Yarrowia lipolytica: one gene and its partners. The protein of the gene in region 3 purifies or fractionates together with the protein of the main gene of each other region. This does not show direct contact. Links are inferred from orthologs where the notes say so. Each region holds a gene or a part of one and is shown on either strand. Other genes may lie near its edges. The genes, in order: YALI1_F27556g, YALI1_E35815g and YALI1_B29528g.

Evidence for each region.
Region 1: the proteins of YALI1_B29528g (region 3) and YALI1_F27556g purify together in Saccharomyces cerevisiae (affinity purification with mass spectrometry; 3 studies listed by BioGRID, with this or other methods). This does not show direct contact. The link is inferred for Yarrowia lipolytica from reciprocal best matches to the Saccharomyces cerevisiae genes PTC6 and PDA1.
Region 2: the proteins of YALI1_B29528g (region 3) and YALI1_E35815g purify together in Saccharomyces cerevisiae (affinity purification with mass spectrometry; 6 studies listed by BioGRID). This does not show direct contact. The link is inferred for Yarrowia lipolytica from reciprocal best matches to the Saccharomyces cerevisiae genes PTC6 and PRO2.

The regions. Positions count from the first base shown.
Region 1 is NC_090775.1:2,753,991-2,757,681, reverse strand, and holds YALI1_F27556g (uncharacterized protein), read right to left. Parts: upstream 2,068-3,691; coding exon 1,978-2,067; intron 1,653-1,977; coding exon 558-1,652; downstream 1-557. Other genes in the region: YALI1_F27574g (uncharacterized protein), read right to left, coding at 1-72, 151-185. UniProt on the Saccharomyces cerevisiae protein: The pyruvate dehydrogenase complex catalyzes the overall conversion of pyruvate to acetyl-CoA and CO(2).
Region 2 is NC_090774.1:3,579,575-3,583,147, forward strand, and holds YALI1_E35815g (uncharacterized protein), read right to left. Parts: upstream 1,933-3,573; coding exon 625-1,932; downstream 1-624. Other genes in the region: YALI1_E35831g (uncharacterized protein), read right to left, coding at 2,788-3,522. UniProt on the Saccharomyces cerevisiae protein: Catalyzes the NADPH dependent reduction of L-gamma-glutamyl 5-phosphate into L-glutamate 5-semialdehyde and phosphate. The product spontaneously undergoes cyclization to form 1-pyrroline-5-carboxylate.
Region 3 is NC_090771.1:2,951,108-2,954,869, forward strand, and holds YALI1_B29528g (uncharacterized protein), read right to left. Parts: upstream 1,746-3,762; coding exon 555-1,745; downstream 1-554. Other genes in the region: YALI1_B29507g (mitochondrial 37S ribosomal protein uS19m), read left to right, coding at 1-183; YALI1_B29539g (uncharacterized protein), read right to left, coding at 2,375-2,810, 2,867-2,910; YALI1_B29548g (uncharacterized protein), read left to right, coding at 3,709-3,762.

The DNA of each region.
Region 1 (3,691 bases), on a different chromosome or scaffold from region 3:
GCCTTGTCTTCGCCACTCTCTCTGTTGATGTGCCTTCTATCGGCCTGCACCACAATAGAGGACATCTCCTCGCTGTAGTTAGTAAGTGATCCAGAATGGCGTTTGTCACACAAAGCCGAGTCATATCACACCATCCCCTCTAATACTCACTATTTGTAACGAGACATGTCATTGTTGTTCGACATGATGTGCTTGGTGTCGTGGGTGTTGCGTGAAGGATTTATTTCAGCGTAGATGTGCTTATTTTCTGAACCATATGCATAACAAGATGTTAAAATTGGGTGGTGAGCCCACAGTGCAGCAGGGTCAATTTACAAGTAGAATATACTGCAGATTCTACGACAGATGCTTGTACTAGCCCGAGTGCGTGCCTTCAAAAGGGCAAAAAATGATAAAATAAATGGGATAAATTCTTTCTCACTTACTATTCACCATGTTTCTCTCGCAACATTTTCCACAATCACTTCAAGCTCACCCAATCTATGTACTGTACTCCTGCTTTCTACTCATTCTCAGAAAACGACGGCTCGTACATTAGTAATTACATTCTACTCTACTTAGTTCTTAAAGTAGTAGTCCTCGGAAGGGATTCGGCCTCGGATCACAGGAGGCTCGGTGCCGGGAACGTAGATATCCTCAAACAGAACCTTGGCAGTAGCCTCGGGAGCAGGGTCGGACTCAGCAAGGGCAACCTCCTTGTCAACCATAGCTCGAGCAGCCTTGTCCACAGACTTAAGCTCGTCCTCAGTGGCGAAGTTAAGCTCCAGGATGTGGGCCTTGAGACCAGAAATAGGATCGTTGTGGGATCGCATGTACTGGATCTCCTCTCGGGTTCGGTAGGTGGTTCCGGGATCGGACATGGAGTGACCACCGTATCGGTAGGTCTCGAACTCCATGACGAGGGGACCCTTGCCGTGTGTGGTCCACTCCTTGGCGAACTTGGCTCCCTGGTAGACGGACAGAATGTCCATTCCGTTAACCTTGAGACCGGGAATGTACTGACCTCGCTTGTAGTACTGCGTCAGGGCAGAGGATCGAGCAGCAGCGGTACCCATTCCGTACTTGTTGTTCTCGCATGCAAAGATGCAGGGGAGGTCCCAGAGCTTGGCCATGTTGTAGGCCTCGAAGATCTGACCCTGGTTGGAAGCACCGTCACCGTACAGGGCAAAGGTGGCCTTTCCGGTCTGCTCGAGGTACTTGTGGGCGAAGGCGAGACCAGCTCCGACGGGGACCTGGGCTCCGACAATACCGTTTCCTCCGTAGAAACCCTCGGTGAACATGTGCATGGATCCACCCTTACCGTAGGAGACACCGGTTCGCTTTCCGAGCAGCTCGGCGATGATTGCTCGGACAGAGGCACCTCGCATGTAGGCGAAACCGTGGCATCGGTAGGCGGTGATGACAGAATCGTCGTGGTCGATGGCCTTCTCGATACCGACGGCAACAGCCTCCTGACCAGTAGACAGATGGCAGAAACCTCGGATCTTCTTGGCCTTGTAGAGGGCATCAGCAGCCATCTCGAGTCGTCGGACGGTCACCATGTCCTTGTACATTTGCAGAAGCTCACCCTTGGTCATCTCGAACTCGAGAGGAGGGGGAGAATCAAGCATGTAGGTGGTGTAAGAATCCTCCTTGAGCGTGATTGTGCATTTCTGGGGTTAGTATACGGTCGATTGAAGCTGTTTTGCCACGTTTTGTGATGGATTGCTGGTGGGTGAGGAATAATTTTTCCGGGTGCATGCGTTCCTAGAGGTTCGATTTTCTCTAGGCCCGTTTCTCATTAACAATCTCAGCAGCGTCAACGAGACGCCACCGCCAGGGGTAATGGCATCCGTAGAATCATTTCCGAGGGGTCCCGCGTCGATGGCATGTCTGTGTCGTCCGTTTCGTCGTGTTTCGTGAGGCGTATGTTTCGGAAAAACTCCCTGTAACCCAAATCCACGACACCCCAACGCAATGGGCGAAAAAAATACTCACCTTGTCGGCATCGTCAGCGATGGAGTATGCTCGGACCTGGTGGCCGAGTCGGCTGGTGAGCCGTGTAGATCGTCGAGCGGCAGTGAGCATGGTCAATTGTCTTGTTTTCACACGGACTGGATTGAGAAAAGCGCCACTTGGATGAAGTTGCAGGTTCTATCTGTGTGTTGTCAAGTGAGGAGAGTCAATTTTAGGTCTGCTATGGGCACCACCACAACCCACTAATCGCTCACACCGGAGAAATGTCCCACCAACCTTATTTTTCTGCGCGGATATTGAGTACTGTTGAGCGTGTGGGGGTCTAACAGAGAGAGAGGGAGGGAGGGAGGCTAAGCAAGAGAGTGGTGATAGATGGTACGCATATTGGAGAGAAGTGATGAAAGAGGAGAGCGCACGATACTGTCATAGTTATAATACTATGATTCGGTCTCTCCACTGGGATTTCGCTGAAACCCCTATATTCTCTCTCGCGTTTTTATTTTCACCCAGTAGCCCCAATATACACCTCCTGTCACACATACATCAAACGAGAGGCTCCCATACGGCTGTTGAGCTCGCCGACTGGTTGGTGCATTTCTCGTGGGTGGGGGGCCAACCTGGCTTACTCTATACAGAGATATAGCCCCAATTGAGACCGTGCCTGGGAGCAGTTGACACGGCACAATTTCTCGGATCTGTACTTCCTTGTCAATGCGTTTGAGTCAACAACTTGTGTTTGCTACGATATATATCTATCGGCTATCGACTTACAACAGTTCAGCATTCCGAGTTGGGGCTGAACACAGCTCAGCATTCAGATAGGGTGGGTGCCTTTTCGCTTTGGCTAGTGTCGTCTACAAGTAGTCCGACCAATCACAACATCGTACTTGTATTTTCTTGGATCATTAGTTGAACTGAGAGCCCATTTTCAACCGTTGCTGAGACCTGCTGGTGTGCCCAACAGTTATCTCGGAGGGTGAGCGAGCTCCCAGATTGGCCATTTCGAAAGACTGCCTTGAAGTGCCCAATACGTCAAATTACTCGTACTTGTAGCTTGCATGAACGCATCAATGTGCAGCTCGCTGCATTTGTGGCAAGTAGTCTGGAAAATCTTTTCGTATATCGATACTGTTTTGGGATAATATTGGTTGTCTGTCCATCAGAGCATCTGTCTCTACCCCATTCGCCATGTTCGTACCAGTAGTCTCCGGTGGAAACGGTTTCATCCAGTTCTAAACCCTCCTGTCTAACTCCGACGACGTCAGATTTTTCGCTACAGTAGCTCAAAGAATGCATTCAACAGCTCGCTATTGGTATGTCCGAAATGTACTGGTAGGAAGAGAGAGAAAACTTTAGCCTGGGAAAAACTTCAAGAGCTCCCTGGGATCCTTTAGCGAGGAAAGTATTCGCGACCACAAAAAAAGGTCACCTGACTCTACACCCAAGCCAAGATAGCAGATGGATATTAAAGTGTCAGGATCTACAGGGATACGAGCTGTGAAAATCAGTCTCATCTGAGAATTGTTGTCAGATGTGAATTCATTTTATACAGAGAATGGCTAGACGGATGGACATCTACCTAAGATAGAAGATTATAACATATTGCACGGGATCAATCCTTTCTTGTGGTACTTCCAATACCCCGCGTAACTGTACGGATGCATGGTGTTTGTTGTGGTGGGGCTCCGATACTGTAGAGACGATAGCTGAGAGTATCGTACAGACGGGGGCATGG
Region 2 (3,573 bases), on a different chromosome or scaffold from region 3:
TGCTTTACAGAGTTTAGGGTTGAAGATGCCGTATATATAGCCACCACTCACAATATATGTAAGTTAAGTTATGTTTATACGACTTCCGGAGCTCGTACTATTGGTGTACTGTTCTGTAGAGTAGGACGAGCGGTTCCTGCTCGTACCTAGGGATATCTTGAGGATTGACCCATCACCGATCCGTTACACAGACATATCCGCAATAGTTTAGTGGCTAGAATTTCCGCCTGTCAGGTATATACCAGCACGCGGGGGACCGGAGTTCAATTCTCCGTTGCGGAGTTTCGGTTACGACCATATCTTGGTGAAAATACGGCTTCCCGTCCGATCAGCCATAGTCAAGCACCAGAGAGCCTAGTTAGTATTATAGTGGGAGACCATACGAGAATCCTGGGTGTTGTAATTTTTTTTCAATTGAGGCTGGTATTTTTTGGTTTATACACCTATTAGTTGAGTAAGCCAGACACTACTGACACAATCGTACAGTGGCTACAATAGTAGAAGTACACCGGTACGTACTTCACAATGTACGGTATGTACTGGTATGTATGGAATGTACTGTAGTCAAATATCAAACCCCATCATACTCCATGTCATTTTCTATGTGATCCAAGACTTGTCCGTCTAGTTCTCAAGAGGAAGGTCCTCATGCTTGAAAGGCTTGTCACCACCAGCTCCTAGGTAGGAGGCGGCAATCTGGCCGTTACCCTTGAGAATGTACTGGTAGTTTACCAGACCTTCGAGTCCAACGGGGCCTCGGGCGTGGATCTTGTTGGTAGAAACACCGACCTCAGTGCCGAATCCGTATCGGAAACCGTCAGCGAATCGAGTGGAGGCGTTCCAGTAGACTCCAGCAGAGTCGATACCCTTGAGGAACTTGCCTGCGGTAGTTTCGTTGTCGGTAATAATACAGTCAGTGTGTGACGAGCCGTGGGAGTTGATGTGGGCCATGGCGTCCTCGACGGTGGGCACGGACTTGGCGGCGATGATGTGGGCCAGGAATTCGGTCTTGAAGTCCTCCTCAGTGGCAGTCTTGCAGTGGGACTTGAGGTCAGCGGGAAGAGCTTCAATGAGCTCGGGGGTGGCTCGAATCTCGACGTTGGCGTCCACGAGAGCAGAGGCAACGGTGGGCCACTTGTCGGAGATGACCTTCTCGTTGATCAGCAGAGTCTCGACGGAATTGCATCCAGCGGGGTAGTTAGTCTTGGCATCGACAACGATATCGGCAGCCATCTTGGCATTGGCGTCCTGGTCGACGTAAATGGCGCAGATACCGTCGGCGTGGCCCATGACGGGGATCTTGGTGTTGTCCTTGATGTGTTTGACGAGCTCGTTGGAGCCTCGGGGGATGACCAGGTCAATGTACTGATCCTGGGACAGGAGAGAGGAGACCTCGTCCCGGGTGGCAATGAGCTGGATGGCTCCGGGGGGAACCTTGGACTTTTCCAGTGCCTTGGTGACGGCCTTGGCAATGGCGGTGAAAGAGTGCAGAGACTCCTTACCTCCCTTGAGGATGGCAGCGTTACCAGACTTAATAGCAAGAGCAGTGATGTTGGCAATGACCTCAGGTCGGGCCTCGAAGATGACGAGTAGGACTCCAACGGGACAGGTGAGTCGGTACAGCTCAAGGTTGTCGTCCAGCTTTCGGGCGAGAGTCACCTTTCCAACGGGATCGTCGAGAGAGGCGACATCGAGAATACCCTGCAGCATGGAGTCGTACTTGTCGCCGGTGGACAGATCGAGTCGCTTGATGAGAGAAGGAGACAGGTTGGCGGATTTAGCAGCATCGAGATCCTTGACATTGGCAGCAATGACCTCGTCCTTGGCCTCTCGAAGAGCATCGTGGACCATTTTGAGGGTGGCAGTTCGGTCATCGTTGGACACGGTTTTCAGCACCGTGGCGGCGAGGTGGGCTTTCTGTGCGATTTCCATTTTTTTTGTATGATCCCAATATGTGGTGACAAATGTATAGTGATGTGTGAAGATTGAGATAGGCCATAATGTGGAGAGATTGGTCACACTTGCTACCAATTATGCTTTGGGTTAGGGTGAGTTGTTGGGGGCTGGAGAGCTTCATGGGGCGTTTGGGGCATTTATGTGAGGTTTTGGAGAACGATTAAAATGATTTAATAGTATGGTTGGTTGACTTATCAACTTTCCAATTCGAGAATATCGACTTTTCCTCGTTGATGACGTCACCATGTGCGGCCATGGAATCAGTTAACCTCTGGTAGCAGCATCTTAGAGGCATCCCAACTTTGCTGGGTCCAAGGTTCAACACGAGGGATGGGAAAATTGTGGAGCGATATACTTGTAGTGTTGGCCATCGCATGGGAGCTGTCAATGACTGTTTGTTTGATACACCCGAAGTAAATAATGGTCTGTGTAAATGATTAGCAACTTATCATACACGATATATTGTCAGAATTTCCCGTTCTGTCCTGTCGTTCAGGAACAACCTCGGCTTAGCAGGAGGCTAAATTTCTTCGAAGTTTGTTGTCTACGTCTTCTATCACCGCCACTTACAGTCACCTATACTACGCGTTAGTTGTGCTATGAAATAGGTATTATTACTGAATAAATATGTTGTAGCATTTAACCGCTCAAGCTCGCCCTCTACCCTAGCCTTTGCATCTTCTAATGCCCTCGTTCCCTTCTCGGCTGCCTCCACGATCTCCGCTCTAATCTTCAACTCTTGTCGAATCTTCCTCACATTCTCCTCGGGCACCACTTTGCAGTTTGCTACAAATAGTAGGAGGTGAACGGGAGATTCCACACTTCCCGTGTTCACAAGCTCGGAGCAGGGTTTGTTGGTACCGACATGTTCTTCTTGTGACTGGCTTTCGCTGGGTTGCCTGTCCCCGAAGTTTTGTTTCCGGCTAAGTTGGATTTGGGGATTCTGACAACAGACATGGTAGAAGCACCACGATGAGACCCATATGGAGTGGCTGTGAGGCCGTCGAGAGTGAGAGCCTCGAGAGCCTCGGTGCTTTCATCGTCTGAATCCTCGCTTTTGAGATATACGGACCGCTGGGTCTTGATCTTACGACTATCGCTGACCCGTTTGCACAGCAGGCTTCTCATTTCGGAAGGTAAGCTGTAGAAGCCCGAATCTGCAAACACAAGAAGAGGGTCTGCCTTGACGTACTCAACGATGTAGTTCTGAACTCGAGCCGATGACGCTATGGAAGCCCGCTCCCAGATGAGAATTGCTTCAGAGCCACTTCTGATATCCCACCCGACCAACACATCCTCCAGACACGTGAAGAGGTCGTGCTTCATAGATTCTGCAGCCATCATAAGCATGCCCGAATACACGTCTAGAGTATCGTAAGCGGAAACAGTGTTTCTGTAGATCCAGGACAAAAACCCATGAACCCAGATCTTTGGATAGTCCACTTGGGCAAAAAAACCATCATAGGTAGACTGGAGTCTGAAGCTGACCCATTGCCATTTCTCGTTGATAGTTCTGGACGAAGTGTGAACGTGACCATCAGTGCACAAGAGTCTTGTGTCGTTCATTGGAAATGCGGTGTACTGCGTATGGAGTGCGTGTGGTGTGTATGATTGTGT
Region 3 (3,762 bases):
CAGCCTATCCAGACCGATAAGCGAGCCGCAACCATCATCCCCCAGTTTGTTGGTGTGACCTTCCACGTCCACAACGGTAAGGAGTACGTTCCTGTCAACGTCACCCAGGATATGGTCGGAACCAAGCTTGGCGAGTACGCTTACACTCGAAAGCCCTTCCGATACCGACAGACCAAGAACTAATTTGTATATAGCCAAGATTCATGCCTCAGAAGCTGTACATACTGTACTGTAGCTTTACAGTGCCTGAAGAGCCACCTGACTTCACCTACAAGTAGCTATTCACATGGTGATACGCTAAAGTCTTTGTATCTATCCATAGATACAGCGACTTTTTCCACCCAATACGTAAGATGGGAATTTTGAGCCAGGATAATAAATCTCGCATCTTGGCTCTAAGAGTAATTGAACTTTTAGTTAGATTTTTAGTTGATACCGTAAAACATTAGTGGAACTTATCGGTGGGGGTAGTATGTACACTACACATCCACTGAATACTCGTGCTACATTCTTCAAGTCACATTGCCAAAGTTACTGTTTATAAATATACATGCCTACATTCGATTTCCACGGGAGTCGACATTTTTGAGTCGGTATTCTCGTAGCTCGCCGGTTCGGTCCACCTGCGAGCCATTGCCCCATCCTCTTAGACGGATAACCATGCAAGTGGCATTGTCCGAGCCACCCAAAGCCGCTGCGTACTCAACCACCTCCTGGGCAGCCTGCTGTGGCGATCCTCGTCCAGAACCGCTACTGTTGGCGGTAATGGTTACCAGGTCCACGATCTCTTGATCAGACACGTCGCCAGAAACTCCGTCGGAAACCAGCACCAGGAACTGTTCGTCCTGGAGTGCAACCTCTCGCACGTCGGGCTCGGCACTCACACCCTTGGCCTTCATAAGTGTGTCTCCAAAGGCTCGGGTGTTGGCAAAGACACCGAACCGCTCCTCGCCGAAGGAGTCCATGAAGAATGAAGATGCAAATCGACGCAGACGATCGGCCTCGGTGGGAGCGCTGGGATGGTGGTCGATGGTAAGAGGTGTGGCCTCTCCTTTGGCATCACAGATGATGCATCGAGTGTCTCCGACATGGGCCACTACTAGAGAGAGGTCGTTCTCTGGGTCAAACATGTTATCCTCAGCCCCCGGCGGTAGGGGACCGGCCTCTGAATGGGCCACATGGCGACAATACAAGAACACCGATGTGCATGTACTTCCTCCTTTACCTTCAAAATCGTAGTCGGCCTCCAGGAACGCCAACGGTAGTCGTAACTGGAAGTCGTCGTAGGGGCTCATTCTACCCCGGTATTTGTCCATCTGCTTCCATCGGCGCCAGTAGCCTCCAAACCGCTCCTTGTACTTGGTGGTAATGTCGTCGGCGTCGTTGAGGTCAGCCTTCTCGACATAGGTGGCCAGTTTGTCCTTAAGAAACTCGGAGCACTCGTCGGATCCGTGGCCATCGTAGACGGCAAAGTTGAAGACCTGACGCTCGGCAGACATGCCCTTTCGCAGAGATCGAGGCGCAAAAGTGCTGCCTCGAGGTAGTTTCAATACGGAGGCGCTGTAGCGGTCTTCGTTGTAGGGTCTGTTGACTCGGCTTGTGTAGTGTCCAATGAAGCCCGGAAGCGAAAGCAGGTTTATGCGGCCCGCCACGTCGCCCTGGCGATAGTGAAAGTAGTTGCTGACGTGTCTCGAGAATATACGGGGCAATGGCGCCCCAATTGTGGCTCCTCGTCGAGGCACCATTGTATGGATAGATGTTTAGGACAGGTCCCAACGAAGTTAAACAATCCCCGCATGGGCCAAGACGGAGGTGAAACCCTCAATATTAGCAAGCCTTAGGGGGTACATGGGGTCTTGTTGGGCGGGGCAAAAGGGTTTTTGAGCGGTATTTCTGTCCACTATGAAGTGAAGCCGTCATATCCCCCTGGTTACATCCCCTCGTGTAGCTATAGCTGTGTACTTGATATATGTTCCTGCACATTTTTCCGACATTAACAGCAAACCATATCCTCAAATTTGTATGACAAGCAACGGATAAACCCAACCTCCATGCCCACACGTTGAGTCAACTGAGTCACGCTTACAGAGCTCCACGAAAATGAACCCATGGAGCTGACTAATGAAAAATGGCTTAACTTTGGGGCTGTCATAACCACCAAACATTGGACAGGAGGGAGAAAAAAAATACATCTATTGACTAAAACATGCGAAAACCGCTGACCCACAAGCGTCACGCATACATATGTTATATTTAATGTTTAGTCGCGTGAGGGTGGATCAGCTCATCTCGGCCCTTGGATCCTCCTTCAAGACTCCAGTTCTAAAGTCCTCCAGCATCGCGTAATGCATTAATACGAACGCCGAGTATCACTCTAAGCAGCGTACTTTTTGACCTGCTCGGCCACCCGCTTATCGTACTCCTCCTTGTTCTTCTGGAAGGCGGCAAATGCATCGTTCTGGGCGGGAGAGTGGGGGTTGGGGTTGTTCATGAGCTCCTGGATACCCATGACAATCTCAGACAGCGTGATGGAAGGTCGCCAGTCCTCCTCCTCGTTCAGAATTGACAGACAGACGGTGCCCGAGGGGTAGACGTTGGGGTGATAGAACCCAGCATCAAATCGGCATCGTGGGGGTTTGGTCGGGTAGTCTTTGGGGAAGGTGATGAGCATGGGGTATGTGGCACCGGCCCAGGCGGTTCCTTCCTTTCCGGGGATGCCGGCGTTCCAGTTAGTGAGATCCAGGTTTCCGTTCTGGTCCTTGGCGGGCTTAGCAAAGAAGCCAAACGGATGTGACTTTCGCCAGGTTTTCCTGAGTTAGTTAAAACGGGGCGTCTAGGTGAATAAAGATTGGTCTTTGTAACTCACCGCTCTTCCATGAGTCGCTTCTGCATCAACGAGTCTTCCGACATTTTTGCTGGTTGTGTCTTGTGTGTGGTGTGTGTGGAGAATGCGATGTGATGATGTCTCCTAAAGAGGTTTTGTTTGTGGCCGACTATCTCCATAGTAACGTAGCTAACTTTCAGCACTCGGTTCGAGTCCTATGTGGGTATGGAAGTGAGGTGTTTTTATTATTCACGTGGGAGAGTCCAATCATAGAATTATTTACTTCATTTGGCGTATATTCTACGGAAAACCTACGCCCAAGATATTTGTTGGTGGTTTGGCTGGATTACTGACTTTCAATATTACTAAGCGTCAAGCCTCTCCCAGAAGGATCTACACCTATCAGAGCTCATTTAATGAAGATGTGGAACAAGTACGAGTACAAAAAATTGTCCTAACTAAGAGACCTTCTTGAAGCATCTTTTTCATTCATGATCCTTTGCATTCCGAGACCCCCTTGTTCCAAAGACACAAATTTGCACACTCAAGGGCCCTCTTTCTACAGCGAGACAGCTTGACTGACACTTGCCCCACGCCCCTAACCCGTACCCCACACACACGTTTGTGCCAAAAAATAGAAGCCAGAAGAGGAGGAAGTGGAGGAAGAATTTTCCATTGAATATTCCGTGGTATTAATTACCACTACTTCATTAATTACACCTGTCTCACCTCCTTGGTCCAAATCTAACCACTCAGACGGCTGATGATCATAGACTCCCCCTGCACACCCCACCTTGTGAAAGAAACTAAGTTGACCAACACCTTGATTTCCATCGTGTTCGCTTCTTAACCACACCCCCACACAGTTCACACCCACAAAAACAATGTCACACGAAGAAGATCTTGATGACCTCGATGACTTTCTCGACGAGTTCGAC